2 linked regions of the Diceros bicornis minor genome follow. The protein of the gene in region 2 purifies or fractionates together with the protein of the main gene of each other region. This does not show direct contact. Links are inferred from orthologs where the notes say so. Each region holds a gene or a part of one and is shown on either strand. Other genes may lie near its edges.

Region 1 (10,384 bases), on a different chromosome or scaffold from region 2:
GCGATGTGGAGATGGCGGGTCAGCCCCTGCGGTTCACGCTGGTGTGGGGACCAGCGCACCCCAGCAGACTCCCCTAAATGTTGCTGAATAATGGGGGCCATGTGAAAGCGTGACGCTTCTTGTCCGAGCTGGCTTGGGTCATTCCTCTCAGCGTGGACCTCCCTCCCCAGTGGGAACAGAAAAGAATCTGCGATGCTGCAGGAAGGGGACCCAGAGTTCAGAGGTCCCTTAGAGCACCTGGGGTCAAGCACGCAGGGAGCCCAGGTGAAGCTGGTGGCTGGACGATGTGCCCAGATCTGTCCCTCTGCCTCCCCACCCCCACCCAGCAGGAGCTGGAGACAGCTGCTGCTGCTCCCAGGTGGAGGCTTAAGTCCTTCTGCCTCTCTGTGCACTCCCAAGGGGACCCAGCTGTCACTCCGCTGGGCCTCTGCATAGCTGTTTCCCCGGCCTGGACCTGCCTTCTCCCACTTCTCCCTGGCTAACTCCTGCTCAGCCTTTTCTGGCTCCCCCCTGAACTACAGTAGAGGCTTCTCCCCTGTGCTCTCAGGGCCCCTCAGCACCACCCCGTTTATCACACTATGGGGCCTACACTGTGAATTCCCCCAGGGCTGGGACTGTCTGGTTTACCCCTGTCTCAGCCCAGCCCCAGCCTGGAGCTTGACAGAGAGCTGGGGGCTCACGGGCTGCTTCCCCAGTAAACACAGGAATAAATTAATATAAAGACCCCCCAGTCCCTGGCAATCCTCTGCAACCAAGACCCTTCTCAGGCCCCCTGTGACGCTGGTGGAGAGTGGCCCCCAGGGCAGGTACCTTGCAGGTGTACTCGGCTCCTGTGGGGCGGTGCAGGGCCCGGTAGGCCTGGCCGCCCTCCTCAGGCTCCAGGAGGACATAGGGCCCAAGCCGGGAGGCGGTGGTCACAGCAGGGGCACGGAGTGGAGCAGGGGGTGGGCTCAGGGGCAGTGGGCAGGGGGGCAGCCTGGGCGGGGGCCCACTTCGAGCTTGTTTCCGGGTGGGAGCCTCAGTGTCTAGGTTGTCGTCCAACTCCAACCGCTTCTTCCTGGAGGGGGCAGCTGCAGGAGCAGCCAGAGGGGTGGCTCGCATCTAGAAAGAAGGAGAGGAAGGCACTCAAGTGAGGCTGTTTGGCGGCCCTCTCTTCCCCTGCTGGTGGGAGGGTACATTGGCCCAGCCAATTACAGAGGATGATTTGTAGTGTGTATTAGACTGACAAGTGCACATAGCCCTAATTGGGTGTCCCACTTCTGGGAATTTATCTTCCAACTAAAATGCTCACCAAAAAATTAAATATGTGAAAGGCTGCTCATCAGAGCCTTGTGTCTAATAGCAAAAGGCAGGAAACACTCCCAAGTGTCCAGCAGTGGGAGGCTGGTTAAATACCATGGTACAGCCATACCGTGGAATACTATACAGCTCTGAAAAAGGACTGGGAAGCTCTCTATACACTGATGTAACGATGCAAGTACAAGGTTATTCCTGCAGCCCATGTGATAGAAACAATTTAACGTCCATCCTTAGGGGGCTGGTTAAATAAATTGTATTTCATCCATACAGGGAACAATTGTAGCCATTCAAAAGATTGAGGAAACTCTTTATGTGCTGATTGGAAAGATCTCCAAAGTGAACTGTTAAGTGAAAACAGAAAAAAAGGTAAAGCGGAGAGAGAGACTTAGTGGTTGTGACAGGGAGGAAGAAAGACTTTGCATTGTATCTGTTGAGTGTCATAGCGCAGGAGGCTATGAGCCGTGACGGGGAGGGAGGGAAGGAGGGAGTAAGATGATGAGGGTGCTGCATGAATGCGGTGGGCCTGAATGCGCATGTGCATGTGCGCTCTGGAACGGACATACTGTCCAGGGGAAAGCAGGCTGCTGAACAGCACACCCAAGGTGACCTCATTTATGCAAAGACCCCCCAGCATATAAAATGATGTAGCTCCATGTTTGCGTGTATGTCGGTGTGTGAATGCACAGGGAAAGGTCTGGAAGGACCCAGACTAAACTGGAGGCCCCCAGGGGAGGAAGGGATTTGGTAGGGGGGCAAGGGAATTTTCAATTTCAGTATTGTAAGGTAAAGATCCTGCGTTCACTTACTGCTTGAGTATTTCAGATCAGAGTGTATTTCTTTTTTTTCAAATGTGAATTTTATCTACTATTGCCTGACGGCTCAAGAGCTCCCGGAATCACAGGGACCACAGGCGAAGTCAGTCCCCCAGCCAGCTCAGCTTCCCCCTCATGTGAGAGGTGAGGCGGGGAGGGGAGGGTCTGTCAAAGGCCCCCAAATTCATTCATTCAGCTGTGGGGGAAGCCACCCCCCGTGCAGCTGTGTCACCGTGTGTGGTGGGTGGAGGAGAGGGCAATGGCATGTCTGGGCGGAAAAGTTCTCTCCAGGACCCATCTGCCCACCCATTCAGGCTCCAAATGAGGGACACGGAGCCCAGGGAAGAGGAGTCAGAGGGAGATGGACTTCAGCCCAGGTGAGACCTTCCCAACAGTCCCAGGCAGGATTAACAGGGAAACATGACTCAGTCAGTTCTCACACTGAGGCCCACCTCTCCAATCACGCTGCTCCCAAATGTCTGGGCTGGCCTGGGAGGAAGGGAGGGAATCCCCACCCCCACCCCCACCCCCACCCCGAGTGAAAGGCCATAATCCCATCTTGGTAAGAATGCAATCAGGGGTGGCTGCAGTCAGATATTCCTGGGTTCTAATCCTGGCTCAGATCCTTCCTGGCTGGGTAGTCCTGGGCAAGCTCTTCAACCTCCCTGAGCCTCAGTTCCCTCATCTGTAAAGTGGGAACAGGATGCAAAGCCCATAGGATTTTTCTGATGATGAAATGAAAACACAAATAAACTAGAGTGGCCTTTTGTAGGGTAGGTGTCAGAAAATGGTCACTACTGTTGGTCCGTTACTATTATTATTATTATTCGTAGCTGAAGATGCTAAAGTGCTACCCCTGAAAGGCTCAGGAATCTCCCTGGGGTGAGGCTAGGATGACACTCTTTACCTCCAGGGCTGTTCTGAGAGTCACACAGGATGACACCTGGCTGTGTGGATGCTTTGTGCCCTGGCAGCACGAGACTCCCTGGAGGGGCCCTCTGGGGGCCACACCAGCACTCAGGCTGCTTGGTCCCATCCATGCCCAGAGGCTGCTGGGTCTGAGATAAGCTCACTGGACAGGTGAGGTAACTGAGGCTGTAGATGAGCAAGGCCACACTGCAGGACTAGAATCTCTGCTGTAGGATGGAGGCAGCCCCCAATATCTACCTCTTGCTGTTCCCTGACACCTCCGGGGAATGAGAGTGAGCCATACCAAACACACACACAACCCAGGGCAGACAGGTGTACTCACGCCCCTCAAAAAGACACTTTGTCCAAGCCAGCCAGCCCGCGCCGCACATCCAGGGCAGAGAGGGACATATCATTACGTGACACACACCTCGCCCTCCAGGGCAAGTGCACAGGCACACACACACAGCTCTCCCCACTATCACACTCAGGACTGCAGGATTGATACCAACGAGGCCATACGCACAGTCTGACACGCCCCCCCAACCCCGCGGAAGGCAGTTAGCACCCTCCCGGCGCCTTCCGCAGCCAGGCCCCTCCGGTGGGAGCTGAAGCGGCGGCCGCGGGTGTCCCGGGCAGAAGGTTCGGCGGAAACCGAGAGGGGTGGGGGCAGTGAGGCAAAGGGAAGGAGGCTGGGCCCCAGGCTGGGAGAAGGGGCGGACCTGGGCCCTCGCCCCCACACGCCCGAGTCTGCAGGTACAATGCACACCATTGGCAGGAACAAATACACGCGCGCACAATACAACGTGCAAACCCGAAGCCGCACCGCCCTCGGGCCCCGCATCCCGCGCTGCATCCTCGCTCCCACTCGCCGTGCACCCCCCCACCTCCCTCCCCGCCCCGCCCCCTCCGGCACCCCAGCTCTTCCCGGCGGTGTCCCCGCACAGCCAACACCTGCCACCAGGTGCCCAACCCTCCCCACAGCTCGCACAGTCCACGAGGACACAGACCCCCGAGACCATCCCCGCCCAGACCCCACAGGGTCACGTGGACACCCGCAGATCCCCACAGGCACGCCCCCACAGTGACACAGACCCTACACGCAGTCCCCCAATGCCCCACACAGGCGCCCCCAGACCTCCCGCACCAAACGACACAACTCCCCCGCCTCACACTCACACAAAACACAGACAACCGCACACCCCTCTCGGGGCGACACCCGGACACCTCAGTCCCCGGCCCCCTCTGCCCCCGGGACACAGCTGCCACTCCCCACGGGAGCGCACCCTCGGCCCAGCCCGAGTCGGCCACACTCGGGCGACCCCACGCCCTGCCGGGCCGTGTCACCTGAGACGCGACGGCAACACTCAGCCCAGGTCGCGCCCTGGACTGCGGGGTTTGTTAAAAGTTGTGTGTGCACGCGCGTGTGTGTAACACGCAGCAACCCGCAGCCGCCCAGAGGCTCCCGGTCCCCCTCCGCCCATCTCCGTCCTCTCTCCTGTCCCCACCGGGTACCTTGCTCCCGCGTGCGCGGGGGTCCTGCCGCCGCTCAAGCTCAGAGTCGCCGGGGCCCCCGGGTGGCCCGGGGTCGGTCCGGTGTGCCGAGCTCGGGATCCCGACGGAGCGCTGTCCCGGCCCCAGCAGCCGGACGCGTGCGGCGCCGCCGGCGCTTCCGCTGCGAGTGTCTCGGGGACGCCAGGCGCCGGGCTCCTGCTCCGGCCCGGGTGATGTAAACCTGAGCTAATCAGCCGCCTCCGGATGCCCTCAGGCCGGGGATTGCACCATCCGCCGCGCCCCGCCCCTCGGGGTCACCGCCGAGCGCGCCCCGCCCCGGCCCCTCCCTTTCGCTCCGCCCCGGCACCCCTCGCCTCTCCCGCCCTCTAGGGGTGTCTGGTCTCCACTCCCTCCCCTCCTGCCCCGTGCCCGAAGTTTGAGCGAGGACACCTGCCTCCGACTCTCCCTATCACCTTGGGAAAAGCATTTTGCTTTTCTGAGCCTCAGTTTCCCCATCTGTGAAATGGCAAGCAAGAACATCCTTCCCTCTCAGGATGGTTCCAAGGAGAAAGAGCAAACCGTGACAGTTTCCTGGGTGCTTCCCCGTTTATAAAGCGCTTTGGGGTCCTGCCCGGTGGCACAGCGGGTAAGTGCACGCGCTCCGATTCAGCGGCACTGGCTTCTCAGGTTCGGAACCGGGCGTGCACAGGCGCACTGCTTGTCAAGCCATGCTGGGACAGTGTCTCACATAAAGTAGAGAAAGATGGGCACAGATGTTAGCTCAGAGCCAGTCTTCCTCAACAAAAAACAGGAGGATTGGCATTGGATGTTAGCTCAGGGCTGATCTTCCTCACACACAGACACACACACACAAATATATATATATATAAAGCACTTTGCCACCATTGCTTTATTAAACCTTTAGGAGAACCCCAGGGGGGCAGGAAGCTCCATCTCCCTATTCTACTCAGGGGGAGCGTGAAGCTCCGCTCTGGGAAAGCAGCCCTGGAGTTTTGCAAAGACCACAGATTTAGGAGCCGCCTCCAGGCTCAAAAGAACCAGTGGGGTGCCCTGGAGAGGCCTGAGGTTGGGTGGGCTTCACAGCATTCATTTGACAGAGGCAGTGCAGCCTAGTGGTTAAGAGCAAACACCCTAGATCCAGCTTGCCTAAGAGTGCACCCCACCACTGCCCAGACCCACTGTGCTACCTCAGGAAAGATACTGAAAACCCTGCTTCAGTTTCCTCCTCCGTAAAACGGGCTTATAATAGTACTCACTTCACGGGGTTGTTGCTTGGATTAAATAAATTAATACGTGTAAAATACTTAGAATGTGTGGCATGTTGTAGGTGCTCAATAAATAGAGTGGGGACAACGGGGGCTCAGAGAGGGGAAGGTGCCCGTTACAGGGCTCACACTCCAGACCTGGGAGGCCTTGGTGGCCCTTGCTGTTTGATGGAACATCCCTGTGCAGCCCCAAGGGGCCAGCACCTTTCTTGGAAATCCCTTTTAGGTCTTGATATCTGAATTCACCAGTGTCAAAAAATAACTCCTTGGGGCAGAAGTTGGATGGGAGGTGGGTGGAGTTCTGTTTCCCTGATTCCAGCACTCCAGGGACCAGCTCCCCTGTGTCTCAGAACCCTCCGAGCACAGCAGGGGGTTGTGGCACCTCACTTAACCCTGGAGACTCCCCTGCCGGGAGGGATGGGTGGACTCATTTTCTACACCAGGAGGTCCCGCAGCCGTCCGGGGCAAAAGAAGGCAGGCATTCTTATCTTCTGAGCACCTCGATGGAGCCAGCACTGTCTGGGTTTGCTCCCACATTCCTAACTTTGTTTCATGCTGTGTCAGACCCTGTTCTAAATGCTGGGGACTCAGCCGTGACAAGTCTGACCTATTCCTGCCCTCAGGGATCTTATAAATCAGTGGGGAGACAGACCATTATCAAGAAAATAAAATTAATAGCCGAGATCATTTAAAATAGGTTATAAATGTTATGTATTTTCTTGAATGAACAGGATAGATTTGTTCTCCATCAGATATGACTGAGCGGTGGCTATTTTCAGTAGGAGTCATCAGGAAGGTGATGTTTAAACTAAGATCTTAAGGAAGCGAAGGGGTGAGGAGTGCAAAGATGTGAGGGGAGACAGAGAAAAAGTAAGTGCAAAGGCCCTGAGGTACTTAAGGAACTGTGAGATGGGCACTGTCACCTCCGTTCTATAGATGAGTCCAGGTGAGGGACTTACCAAGACCACCGAGCTCGTTGTATGAAGCAGATTTGAGATTTGAACCTGGGGCAGCTAACTCCAGTGCCCACACTGTCCAGGGACAGATCACAATCTTTGCAACCCGAAGGCAGCCTCCACCCGGACTTGTGGATGGTCACTGGAACCGCACCCTGGGCCTGGACTCCAGGTTTGAGGGCCTTGTCACAGTTGGGGGTGTCAAATCCCAATTCTCTAGACCAGCACTTTCCAATAGAACATAACATGAGCCAAGTATGTTTTCATTTTTCTAGTCAGGTATTGCAGGAGAATAAAAAGAAGCAGGTGGAATTAATATTAATAAATATTAAATATTCTATTTAATCCAATAACATAGCATATTATCATTTCAACAGATAAGATAATAAAAATTATTAATGAGATAATCTAAAATTTTTTTCATACCAATGTCTTCAAAATCTGGTGTGTATTTCATACTTGGTTTGGACACAAATCAGCATGGAAGCTAAATTGTCAGTGGTGAAAGTGAAATGTTGTCCTCCCAAAACAATTAAATTGGGTTTAAAGGAAAAAATATGCTACCTGTTTTAAAATTAAAATTCAGTAAGATGAAAAATTTGGTTCCTCAGTCACACCAGCCACATTTTAAACGCTCAGGAGCCACGTGTAGCAAATGGCTATGGTATTGAGTAGCACACCCCTAGACCAAGAATTCCAGGGAGTATAGCAAAGAAGTGAAGAGCGTGGGGTCTGCAGTATAGATGCCACAGAGCCTGGAGCCTCAGTTTCTGCATCTATGAAATGGATTGATTATACCTTCTTTGCATTGTAGTCCTAAGGATTAAATGCACTGAGGCAGTTTTCTCATCTGTGAAACGGGGAAAATAATAGTGCCTACTTCATCGGTTTGTTATGAGGATTAAATGACTTAATATCTGTGAAGTGCCTGGCATATAAATGCTATATAAGCATTTGTTAAAAGAAGAGAAAATAAATGGTGATCAACGCCCCAAAATTAAATGCAAAAATGTGCACTTTCCTGGATGGAGAGTTGGGCTTTCGTCAATTCCCTTCTCTGCGGGCTCAGAACGTCCCTCCACCCAGATGCCTGAGCCACGCGGGCTGCATTTCTATTCGCTGTAGTTCCGCTGACCCCCAGCGCTGGGAGGAGGAACTCGGCGCGGGGCGGGGAGGCTGCGCTCCAAGGTGGGGGTGGGAGTCCGTGGACCGCGATGATAGGAGCCGCGCCCGCCTCCCTCCTCCACACCCCGTCGCTGGTGCCTGCCTCAAGCCTGAAATGCCACCGCTGGTGTTCTTAAAACGTTTCAGCTTTTTTTTTCTATGTCTGTCGCCAGTCCTCCTCCTTTTGTTGAGGAAGATTGGCCCTGGGCTAACATCCGTGCCCAATTTCCTCTACTTTATATGGGACTCCCCCACAACATGGCTTGACAAGCAGGGCATCCCTGCGCACGGGGGATGCGGACTGGCGTACCCTGGGCGGTCACAGCCCCGCGTGCGCACCTCACAGCTGTGCCACCAGGCCGGCCCCAAAACCTTCCGCTTGGTAAGTTGTGCCCACGAAAGCGAAAAGATGCTTTGGAAAGAATTTTGGTTGGATTCAGGTCTGGCTGAAGCCATTGACCCCGTGAGATGGTGGGCAAGTCATCTTCCCTCTTGGGGCCTTAGTTTCTTGTCTGTAAAATAGGAAGAAAGAGTTGGATTAGGTCGGTGTTTTCTAAAATATGACATGTATAGCAATGGTGGGGTCTCAAGACTCTGAATCATTGAATCATTTGGTGGTACATGCATTTCCTTTTGATTTTCTTCCTGTTCCTCCAGTTACTGGGGGGAAAAGTCTCATTTTACAGCCTCTCTGTCTTTAACAACTCGCTTGGTAAGGAAGAGAGAGCAGGGCTCAGTCCAGAGCCTTCAGCAAGAAACAGGATTTTGCTAGGCTTGAAGAATCTTATTTTGCTTTCCTTGTATTTAATTTGATGGTGACTTTCTCCTTACCGGAAATGATAGTGGCTTTCCATTTGAGGTCAGTGACTTAAATGTTCCCTTTTAAATGAATTTACCTAAGTTTTAAAAAATAAGCTGATTGAAAGAAAAACATCAGGAAACTAATAATACAGATGCGTAAATGGATTTGAGCCAATCAATTTGGGAAAAGCAGTGAGTGATTCAAGAGTTGCAGCTCTAGGCCTGTGCTCCTCTTGGGGAGCCCTCATTAGGAGACCAGACACCCCCCCTTCTCTGGGGTTTCCCAGGGGCTTTGCAGAAATCCCTCATCATCCGAATGTGGCTGAGGCTGGGCCTCAGGAAAGGCAGGAAGCCCTGTGCGTGGGCACAGCATCTTCCCAGAGGTGGCCCAGTGGCAGCCACGGCCCTGCCAGGTGACCCAGGTCTGCCCTGTGGGCCTGGGTTTTCTTTAGGAAGAATGTGATTCCTGTGCTTGAGGATGGAGCATGGCCCTGTGTGGGTGCTTCCTTACATCACCTCACTGCATCCTCAAACCTCCCAGGGAGTTGCTGTTTTCATCCCTGGAGACAGATGAGGAAACTGGGCTCAGAGAGGTGACATCACTGGCCTAAGGATGAGGAGGGTAGTGTGATTAGGAGCCTGTCTATCTGGCTTAAAGCCCAGGTGGTCTTTGTCCACAGCCTTACATAACCTCTTTGGCCAGTACTAGTTATATGACACTGGGCAAGTCACTTAGCTGCTCTGAGACCCAGAGCCTCATCTATGAAATGGAATTGATAGTAGCATCCTCCTGATAGGGTTATTGAACTGCTTCTTGTTACCGGGAACTGTTATTGGATTAAATGGAGGGTTAAATGAGTTAATACAGGTAAGGTGCTTAGAAGAGTTCGTGGCACACAGTAAGCACTTGATGATAAGCGGCAATATTATGTCTACGGAGCCCAGGCTGCTGCCTCCCCTGCACCCCAACACACACCACTTGAGAGCTGAGGGTGGAGGGAGAGGTGGGGACACACCTCCTGAGCATCCCCCGTGTGGCAGGCCTGGGCTGTGTCCTCCGTCTGCTTTCTCCTGTAATCCTGACCACAGCCCTGTGAGCTAAGGATGAACTTATGCCCTTTCTACAAGTGAGAAAACCAGGTGTCAGAGAGGAGAAGTAACCTGCCCAGGATCACACAGCAAGTCCAGGGGTTTGAACCCAGGTCTGTGTAGTTCCAAAGCCCGTGTCCTTCCGCTATTTCAGGAGCCTCAAGGAGATTGGCTGAAAGCTCTGGGGAAGTCCTGTGCCCCCCTCAAGGGTGAGGGGTCCTCTCCCCAACCTGCGGTGGGAGGAGCTGGATACCGCAGGAGGAAGGCAGGTTTCTGGTTCTGACCTTGCCTTTGACCTTGGGCAGCCCCAGTCCCTCTCCCGGCTCAGCCACAAAATTACTGCTTCATGTGTGTAAGGATGGGGCTCTCTGAACTTCCAGGGATCCTGCTCTGTCCCCTACCTTCCAGCTGAGGGGAGGAGGGAGCCCAGATCCACCCCTCCCAGTACTGGAGCTGCCACTGAGTTGCTGAGTCGTCTGATCCCTGCCCTGCCTGCCTTCCTTCCTGCCCGCCCCCTGCGGTTCTGAAGCCATCAGCACCAGGGAAGGAAAGGGATGCTGTGTTCCATCCAGGC
Region 2 (10,790 bases):
ATCATCAAGTTTCAGTTTTGCAGATTCAGGGAAGTTCTTGATTGATAAGACTATAATAATAATAATGTTAACGAACTCTAAAGTTTATTTCAGTAGCTGAATATGTTGTAACAGCTCTTTAAATTACATTTAGTCCTATTTACAAGCTCAAAATGGTGTAAATAAAAAGGCCACAAATTTTCCACTTACTTTCCTATCACAGGAGAAAATACATCCCATAATTCAGTGACTTTCAAAAATTTTTCACCCTGAGACCTAGTAAGACACACATTGCACATACATTGTACATAAAAATGTAACCAAAAGTTTCATCAAACAAACTTATCTTTATCACGACAGGTTCTATGATATCTCCTATTTTATTTCACTTTTTAATAGTTTGAAAAACAGTTATAGTAGCAAGAATGGTCAACAGGTTTCATCTTTAGTGCTAAATGTGATTAACAGGTAATGGCTGCCTAGAGTGCTATGCTGAGGACTGGGAGACAACATCTGAATTCAGAAGAGTATTTAACATCTGCCACGGTACTAAGAGAAGCAATGATGCTGGGATATGATACTACAATTATGTGATTAAAAGTTCTTCTTCACATTAAATCATGAACTCTTTCAGGATAGAGAATCTATTATTAATAGTTAGACACAAGAGAGGCAGTCACATATTTATTAAATGGTAGATCTGTGTAATGTAGATCCTACCTACTTTTTATCAGGCAGATGATTAGAGTTAACCTTCCCACACGGGATTTACCATCTACTTGAAAATACTTATTTCTGCTGCAACTTGGAGGATAACTGGGACTTGCAGAGGTAGAAAAGGTCATTTCAGGCACTTGGAAAAGTTAATGCAGAGGCAGCAGTAACGTGGTAGAATAAAAGAAAGAAGTCATCTTCCAAATACAGGCCAGATTCATAGTTTAGTTAAATGGATCATGTCAGAAAAATCTGAAAAATCAAAGTAACAAAGACATCCTTTGAATGTCAAAGATTTATCCAACTTTAAGCTAAATACTACTCTCTCCTGATCTACAGACTCTCCATCTATAAAACCATTAGCATTATCTGCAACTTGATAATACTTTCAACCCTTTGTATGAAAGAAATATTAAAGTGAAAACTACAAATCCCTAAAATGTTAATTCTGCAATTAAATATAAACTTACTTTCAAATATGATATAAGTCAAGAGAGGCTAAAGTGTGTTACTGAAAATTAGGCATGTGACTTGAAATCAACTGTTCTCAAAGAGGGGAAGAGGACATGTCATTATTACCAGGAGAGCTCTGCCAAACTACACTGCCCATTCCAGTCTCCAATTCGGATATGTCCTCTTGGGAATACGGGCGGGCGGGCAGGCAGGCAGGAGGAGGGAGCGGTTAGGAATAAAAACATATCTCATATAATTTAGAAACAGCTGTTCCCCTCAAATCTACCACATTTAAGAACCACTAGGCTAAATATATGTACTCAAACTTACAGATCTGAAATTTCCTAATTACATACAAAGAAAGCACGAAGTTGAGAATTGGAGATCTGAGTGCTCACTTTGCCCCTTAGCCATCCAATCTGAAAATTACTTAACTTCTTTGTACCTCAATGGAAATACAATTATATTATTATTATATTAAAATTGGAAGTTCTGGGGCCGGCCCCATGGTGTAGCAGTTAAGTGCGCGCGCTCCGCAGCTGGTGGCCTGGGTTCGGGTCCCGGGCATGCACCAGTGCTCCCCTTGTCAGGCCATGCTGTGGCAGTGTCCCATATAAAGTGAAGGAAGATGGGCGTGGATGTTAGCTCAGGGCCAGTCTTCCTCAGCAAAAAGAGGAGGATTGGCAGATGTTAGCTCAGGGCTGATCATCCTCACACACACACACAAAAAATTTGGAAGTTCTATATACTTCACAGAATTGCTCTAAGGATAAAATGAAATGTGAAGTATAAACATACCTTTAAAATGTGATGAATAAGACATTATCAGCATTATTCAAACTTTAGCCTCATTTACATGTAAAAGCAGAGTAATCTGGATGGGTTCATCTTTTGACCTTGAAGCATACAAGACCAGATCAACAACCTAGAGCCAACTAGAAATGAAAAGGATTCCTTGGGCCTTGCCTAATCCATATCTTCCTACCTCCAAAGCTTGGCCAAATCAAATCTAGCTTGAGAATCAGGAAAATTGATTTCTATTAATGAATTCTTCTGAATATTCAACCTCGCCAGAGAAAGAAACAATGGACTAAGGAGATTCTTAGAAAAGTGAAATATTCAGAATTTTTAACAAAAGACTCTCACTGGACACTTCCACATTAGAATACAAAAGAAAACAGAATAATCTAAACAACATGATTAGGACTCATAAACAAGATTGAAATTTTTAAAAATTAGGTGACAAACTAATAAAAATTTTAATAATCTCATCCCCAAAGGAAAAAAAAAATCAGTGCCAGCTGCTTACACTTCCACATCCCTCTCCAATTCCCTATAAAATGGCCTATAGTAAGCACAATGAAACTCATATGGTGCCCGGCAAACTGAGCACCAAATAAATATCTGTTGAATGAATGACTGATTCCCTTATGTCTCACATCCTTTACATTATTTTAGTGTACATATATGGATATCAGCATGTTTATTTTCTTTTAGCCTACTGAAAATTGAAATGCAATGGTGGCTAAAAAGACAAATTCTGCAAACCCTCACTTTGTTCCATTAGCTTCTACTTTGTCATAAGGTACTCTCTCCTGAATATGGGCACAAACCCTCTCAGACCCAACCATAAGCTGCTCAAATTATTTATAAACAACAATCTAATTACAATTACAACCCAGTTTCAGTAAAAAAATGAATTAATTTTGAATCCAAAATAATTTAAGACAAAAACAAAAATATGAATAAAGACATTTTTACTGCAAGAACTATAAACTCTTGTCTAATCAATAACTTTCCTATAGCTCCAACTTCCAGCCCTATCATATTTAAGGACACCAACTCAGATCATCTTCAACCCTGAAGTGAATCAACTTCCCCTATAATGACAGTGCAAGCCAACTTCCTACATCACTAATATTCTAAGACTATCAACAATTTCCTCCAGAGGAAAAGCACAAAACCCTACCAGTTCTCACTCAGCTAAAAGCAATTCATTTCTCATAAGCCTACCACTTGGATTGGATTTTGGATACAAAACACAATGAAAATCCCAAAACACTCTCAGCAAGACAATCAACTGCATCTTTCACTTAATATGGATAACCCCTCTATGCCAAACATCATAACTGAATACTAGTGTGCATCATCCAAGATGCCAACTATGATGACAAAATGTCTAACACCTATTTTCTCAAATCAGAGGTTCCAGTATACTCCAATGCGTTACACAAACGTAGTAGTTACATCTGACACATGGATGATATTTAACAAACGTGGTTCCCTCTTTCAAGACATTCACTTGAGAAGTGGAAATTTTGTGAACAGATTTTCTTGACTACAGTAGCCTCAACAGCAGATTTAAAAGTGGCCCACCCTTTGAAGTGGGAGGAGATATTTATATACAAACACGATGGATACTTACATTAAATACTACTACTCCTTAGAACATTCATACCCGTTTAGAGCCCCAGCTACCATACGTTAAATAAGCAAATTCTGACCAACAACTCCATCCCTCAGCATCCCAGGAAGCTTAATCCTCTCCCTTTACAAGTTTAATTCACTTCAACAATCCGGACTGACAGGTGCCTAATTTCCAGACAGCCAGGAAATTCAAGGCCCAATCTCCTTGCCCAACTTTCTTCTTGTACGCACATTTATTTGACCTTCCATCTCGCCTCCCTTATTTATTATTTCCTAAAGTCCCTTCACTCCCTCCTCACTAGCACTTACCTCTTTGGTACTCCGACCCTGCCTCGGGACTCTAACATGCCCCCATCCCACTCCACCAACCACCCGTCTGAATGTCTCTGCAAACGCTCGAATCCCTCTGCAGACGCCGCCAAGGCACCCAACAGACCCCCCTCACGCCGGACCCCACCAGCCCAACCAGCAGAAACTCAGAATTTAGCAAGAGAGAGGGCGGGGCCTCCAACCCACCAGACGAAGTCGTTGCTTTTGTCCTCGTAGGAGTTGATGAGCCCGTTGCAGAGGGGGGCGAGCAGAGGTCGCTTCCTGCTGCCGCTGCCCAGGCTGGAGCTGCTCCCTCCGACTCCGGCGCTGGGCCTGGCCGCGCAGCTGAGCCGGGACAGGCCGGCGGACACCGCCCCGCCGCCGCTCCCGCCGCCGCTGCCCGACACGGCGGCCGCCACCAACACAGGCCGCGCCGGGCCCCCGAGGCCGCCGGAGCCCGCGGCCTGGGCAGCCCCGCCGGACCCCAGCGCCGCCGCCGAAGCCGCCACGGACGGGGGCGACGGCGAAGAGGATAAGGACGAGGAGGCGGAAGTCACTGAGGAGGCCGCCGAAGAGCCAGGGCTGGTCCCGGCGGAGCCCGACCCGGCCTGGCGGCTCCCGGACATCGTGACTCCCTCCCCTCCGGCCGGGCGCTCGGAGGAGAGGGACCGCGACCGCGACCCGCCGCCGCCTCCCCTCCCACAGCCTCAGTGCATCCTGAGGACGCGCGCCGCGCCGGGAGGTGGGGCTGAGGAACAATAAAGTTGATTTTTTTAAGGCAACCACACAACAGCGTCCGACGGGAGGGGGCGGAGGAAACTAATAAAGCGGAGTAGAAACCACTACCGCTCTCGAGGCCCCGCGGCCGCTGCCGCAGCCAACCCGGGCGCGCCGTGGGCCGGCCGCGCGCGCGCGCGCGCGAGCGGCGGAAGGGGCGGGAGCGGCGGGGGATACAACTTTAGACGCGGCCCGGGCGGCGCTCGGACGCGAACGGCGCGCCCTCAGCGGCCGCGGCGGCCTGGCAACGACAGCCGCCCTCGTCGAGACCTGTTTTCGTTCGTGACGTACCGGAGGGCAGGCCGTCGTAATGGGTGAAAGGGCTGCGGAGGATGGAATGAATGGCAGAGGTGGCGGAGTGGTTTGGGGGAGGGAGCGGAGACGGGGAGCGCTCAAAAAGCGACTGCGCACGCGCGCCCTGGGCGCCTACCCTCGCGGGTTACCCAGTGTCCCCCTCCAGGCGGAGAGGAGCGGCGCCGGCGCGGAGTCGTCGTACTACGCATGCGTGAGGGCGAGCCGCATTCCGGAACGTGAGGAGGGAGCGGTCGGTGTCGACACAGATGGGCAGCGTGTCCCAGTGGAGACGGCAGGACAGGTGCTTCCGAATCCGGAATTGAAGGCTCTGTAAACTGGGACACTCGGAAAGAACCCAGGAACTCCCAGAAGTTGAAAAGAGCGCTGGGCTGAGAGTCAAGGACTCAGGCTCTGGTGTTTTTAAGACATTCCATGTTATTGTGAGGAGTAAATTAAGATGAAGTCAGTGTTGTTCTTTGTTAATTGCAGACATTGTACCAAATTAAGTATAACAATAATGGGAAAACAAGTTATGCTTAATCAGAACACAGCTCCGTCAGAACCTCGGTTTAATTTGGATCTGATATAATACTACCACAAAACAAGGAAACTTGGCAGTAAATACCACCAGAAAATGTGCAATTTCTGGTAGGCTTTTCGGAATATTGAAAGTTGATTACAGATTTTCATTTACCATTTTGAGATTCTGGGGGATGTAAATTAGAAACAACTGAATTGGGTGATTTTCAGTATCCTTTCCAACTCTATCATTTCCATGATTCTTAGAGGGAGAGATGCCAGATTTAATTCTGTCCCGGGTATTGAAGACTACAGGGGCAATTAGGGCCTTTCCCTAGGAAGGTCCATCCATGCTGAGGGGCCAGGGCTGGGGAAGGACCTAGATGAAGACCCAGCAACAAGACCTAGCCATTCACCTGAGCAGTGAACTGTCATGGCTGCCATCATCCTCAACTCTGCCGTAACTGCTCACCCTCATATTTCCAGCTCAGGTTTCTGCTCAAAATAATGATATAGAAATGGGCTTATCAGATTTCCAAGAACCACCCTCTTTGTATAAATATTACATTATCCAACTCCTTGTTTAAATTCACTTTCAAGGCCATACTGAAATGTGAAGCCCTACTGAGTCCTTGGCAGAGATAGTTGCACTCTCATTTGTGCTCCTAGGATATTTTGTTTGCACTTAAAACATTGTGTTTTAGTGATGTATATATGATTCTCCTCCACTAGCCTGTCAGCTTCAGCTTTGTATTCCCAGCATGTAACACAATACCTGACCTATGATAGGTCCTTATTGAATATTTCTTGACTAATAACTGAATAAAGCAGTTGATCTCATTTTTATTTTAATTATTTGCTTAATGTCTGTCTTTCCAACTAAACTGTAAGCTCCGTGAAAGAAAGAACAATATTAGTTCTCAGTGGGCATTCAATAATTTTTTGATGAAAAAATGCGTAAATAAATGAATATTTATTGAACATTTGCTACACGTAGGCCTGGACTAGGCAAGGAAGAGATGAAGAAGTATAAAAAACGTTGCTCTTACTTCAAGAAGCTTATGAAATAATTGAAGAATTAGAAAAGTACATAAAAAGATAAGTAATGTTAGAGCACATGCTAAATGCTCAATGAGAGCAGAGACTCACCATAGGAACTGAAGCAAGAACAAGTGCTAAGGGCCAGCCATGTTGGTGGGGGAAAAAGGAAGGCCTTAACTGAAAAGTATAGCTTGGTCAAACAGAAAGTGTAATTAAAGTCATGAGCCCAGAAAATAAGTAAGAAAAAATGCTTACATGAGGTTCAGATTTCTATAATTGATAAGGTAAAAGAGTTTATTCAGTAAAAACTCATTTGGGGGCCAGATTGTAAAGCGCCTTGAATCCACTTTAGAAAATAGCCTATAAGCAATTGGAAACAATGAAGGCATTATAAGGAGGTAAAATATATTCAAAGTGTTGTTTTGAAGATTAAGTTTTCAGCAGATTAATCTTTCAGAAGAGGTGGGAGATTAGAAGCAAAGAGACTAATTAGGAAAAAATTATAGCAGTCCAAGCATAAGTGATGAGATTCTAGATTAGGGTGCTGACAAGGAAAGTAAGGGAGTATTCTGAGAAAAATGCAAAAGAATCTATAGGATTAAGTTTTGTTGGTGTTACTGTCAAGTGGATTCCAACTCCTAGTGACCCTGTGCCTAGCAGAGCAGAACCCTGCCTGGTCTTTTTGCGCCATCCTCTCACTTTCCAGTGCTATATCAGACAACGCTCCACTGCTATTCACAGAGTTTTCATAGCCAATTTTTTCGGAAGTGGATGGCCACGTCCTCCTTACTATTCTGTCTAGTCTGGAAACTCCACTGAAACCTGTCCACCATGGGTGACCGTGCTGGTATTTGAAATAGGAGGATTAAACTACTCTTGGTAAAAGAATCTTTACAATCCTTGAGGGCATGACCCATATCTGTCTTGTTCATCACTGTCTTTCCACATGCTTAGCAGAAAGGCTAATAAGTTAAGTAAAAATGATGAACACAAAGAAGAATGACTGCAAAGATACCTCCAGGAATAATAGCGTGATGACAGAATTGGAGATGGCCAGCAGATGTTTAGTTTTGGATGTGTCGAGCGAGTGTGGGGTGAAAATACATTCAAGTAAGTATATCCCGGCGGTGATTGAAAATTCAGGCTATGGCACAGGAGAAGGTTCAACACATGAGAGAAATAAAACTGCAGGCTCCTGAGCTCTTCCTTCAGAGATTCTGACTCTATAGGCCTGGGGTAGGGCCTATGAATATGCATTCTTACCAGCACCCAGGCAAATCTGATGCAGGTGACGAACCCTTGAGAAACCCTGTGATTGATATTGTAGGGCGTGTAAGAGAAATGTGTAAAATAGTCTCTTCCTTCCAGGTAGCTTATTCAGGAGACAGAAAGTGATAGGACCCCAGCTAAGTCTCCTAATCAAAAATCAGTGCCTGGTATTACCTCTTTGGAACCTGTCTTCAGTGAAATCTAAACTCACAAAAGGAAGCTAAGGGTATGTGATAATGATGGAATTTCCCTTTTATACCAGATAAATGTGTAAAGACTACTCTGAAAGTACATAATTTTTATCTCTTTTTTTTTTTCCCCCAGAAACAAAGGACTTGATTATTCATAGCAATAGCAGTGGGTAGAGTATCAGCATTTTCATGGGCCAGTTCACTGAGCCCCAATTCCCACAGGGCCATGTGGACCAGAGGCATAGATTGCCCTAGAGGAGAGGAACCCTGAGCTTAGAAACACATAGATACAGAGAAGGGATTGGTGGTAACCAGAGTGGTGGGGGTGGGGCAAAAGGGGTAAAGGGGCACTTGTGAACGATGATAGATGACAACTAGACTTATTAGTTTCTACTGGCAAGATTTTCTGGGAAAGCAGAAGAGAAAAGAGGAAGCATGGCAAAATACGCACAAAGGAAGTCAGACAACTCAGGAGAAGTAGCAAATAGAAGAGAAGAAAACATTAATGAAAATGAAAGTAAATGTAAAATAAAAACTAAGCCCTAATAATTAAAAGAATTCATCATGTTGTTAAATATATTAATCCTGTGAATGACAAAAATGACAAGAAAAAATCCAAAGTCCTACAAAACACTGCTACTGAAGTAAAATCTAATGGAGTTAAGATAGAATGGAATTAGCAAGAGGATTGGATTTCCCAGACATATTTCTAAGTTGCCTTGTCCAAATATAATATTTTAGGGAAATAAGGCTGCTGGCTTTCATCTCCAACTAGCCTTGCACTTTGGTAACCCATCTCCCAAAAAGATCCTGCCAAAAAAGCTTTATCTGCCTGACTCACCTGAAAGGTTTGCTACCTGTTAGCCCTGTTTGCTGTCTAACCAAATCTCTGAGTGAATAATAGCTTCCTGTTCAATTTTCTTTGAATTTAATGTGGTTGCCCTGTTAAAAAAAAAAGAGATGTGAAATAAACATGGTATTAACAAGCTAAATTGAGAAGAAAAAAGTAAAAAAAAATTGTCAATGTGAAGGGACAGAAAAGAAATAGAAAAGTTTCTGTAACCCAGTAGCATCATAATGCATCTAGCAGAAAATAATCCATAGTCTACCGGGAAAATGAAAAGCTCCAAGTTATACATTAAAACCAGAGGCAGACAGTTACCTATGGAGAACTACGTTTTCTTAGAGTTATCATTTGAGGACAATCTCTTTTCTGAAAAGGCCAAGGTCTGTCACACTGTTGTCATTGCTAGAATTGCATCATTAGCTTTTATTCCACTCCAAGTCTTCCTGTATGAAATTACAACCATTTTTTAGAGAAGGTAAACTAATAGCACTAATACCATGGTAAGTCAGTCATCGTATTAAAATAAGTTAGGGCCGGCCCCAGTGACCTAGTGGTTAAGTTCAGCATGCTCTGCTTCAGCAGCCCAGGTTCGGTTCCTGGGCACAGACCTATTCTACTAGTCTGTCAGTGGCCATGCTGTGCCAGCGGCTCATGTAGAAAAAGAGGAAGATTGGCAACAGATGTTAGCTCAGGGAGAATCTTCCTCAGCAAAAAAAAAAAATGCATATAAAAATAAATAAAAGAAGTTAATTTCCTGTATTAAAGCATTTTTGCAAGCTACTGCTGGCAATTTTAGTCTAGGTAGTTGTAAAATATGGCCTAGGCCAATCAGAAGTATTATAACAATGAAAGATTATAGGTGGAGCTATATGAATGTGAATGCAAGTTACTGAATAGGGTTAGTCAGCTTAAAGGAAAAAAAAAGCCCAAGATTGGGAAAAACCAACATTTACTTGTTTTATATATGGTGAATGTGTACATATTTTATGAATATATGAATAGATTTAGATCCAGTTGAAGATCATAAACCAAAACAAAATGAGGTGTAATGAATTCTGCAAAAACAGAACAATTGATGTCATCATGAGGTGGAGACCAGGTAATATTAAAGAGCAAAAGAAGAAAAAAACACACCTCACATGGAAACTGAAGCAGATAATATTGCAAGTCTTTTTTCCGTGGATTTGACCACGCATACATGTAATGTGGCATAATTAAGTGATCTGGGAAAGTGTTTATAACTAGAATCAAGAAATGTTTAAAACAGTTGTCAGACAGGGGGAAATCCCCTTTATACTCTTCTTGTGTTATGGCTAGATTAAAAATAAAATTGACACAAGACCAGATTAACAGGAGAAAAACCCAATTTAGTTACATGTGCGTGGGAGAATTATGGAAATGATTCTCAGCGAGTGAACAAAGCAGGCGTGTATATATGTCTTTTACACAAAAAAACAAATTTACGAGGAATGACAGCACAAAGAAACAGGTTTGGAGTACGTAATTTGTGAGGAATTTAAGCAGAGTTTAGGCTTGAGGTAGTAAATTAGCAAGGTTTGTTTATGCAGGCTTCTTGGCCCTGAATTCCCTTAATCTGGTGATAAGGATGCAGGGAGGGCACCTTTCACATGGGAGATGTATTTCCTGCTTTCAGGGGGAACAGAGACAGGAGGTTCAGTATGCCCTTTTTGCTTCTGAAGCAACTTTAATTCAAAATAATCAACATGCCATTGTGGGATATTTTGGGGCGGCCCGTCGTGGGCCCCAACACAGTACACTGTAATTTGCATCAAGACTCCTTCTTAGGTTGTGAGTGATAGTCCTTTCTGCCTAGTACCCTGGGTATTCAGATGTAATTGCTGGCAAATCATACTATGATATCTCCTCTAATACCCACTCGTGTCACCCACTGAATTCTATAAGAAACTGGGAATGCTAAAGCAGCACTAAATTGTGAACTTTAGTAAACC

The links. Proteins that work in one complex are often made in the same cells at the same time.
Region 1: the proteins of COP1 (region 2) and TRIB3 purify together in Homo sapiens (affinity purification with mass spectrometry; 5 studies listed by BioGRID and IntAct, counting the BioPlex papers as one, with this or other methods). This does not show direct contact. The link is inferred for Diceros bicornis minor from reciprocal best matches to the Homo sapiens genes COP1 and TRIB3.

The regions. Positions count from the first base shown.
Region 1 is NC_080758.1:28,576,168-28,586,551, reverse strand, and holds the start of TRIB3 (tribbles homolog 3), read right to left. Parts: upstream 4,712-10,384; 5' UTR 4,536-4,711; intron 1,102-4,535; coding exon 811-1,101; intron 1-810. UniProt on the Homo sapiens protein: Inactive protein kinase which acts as a regulator of the integrated stress response (ISR), a process for adaptation to various stress. Inhibits the transcriptional activity of DDIT3/CHOP and is involved in DDIT3/CHOP-dependent cell death during ER stress.
Region 2 is NC_080743.1:90,434,224-90,445,013, reverse strand, and holds the start of COP1 (E3 ubiquitin-protein ligase COP1), read right to left. Parts: upstream 4,733-10,790; 5' UTR 4,509-4,732; coding exon 4,090-4,508; intron 1-4,089. UniProt on the Homo sapiens protein: E3 ubiquitin-protein ligase that mediates ubiquitination and subsequent proteasomal degradation of target proteins.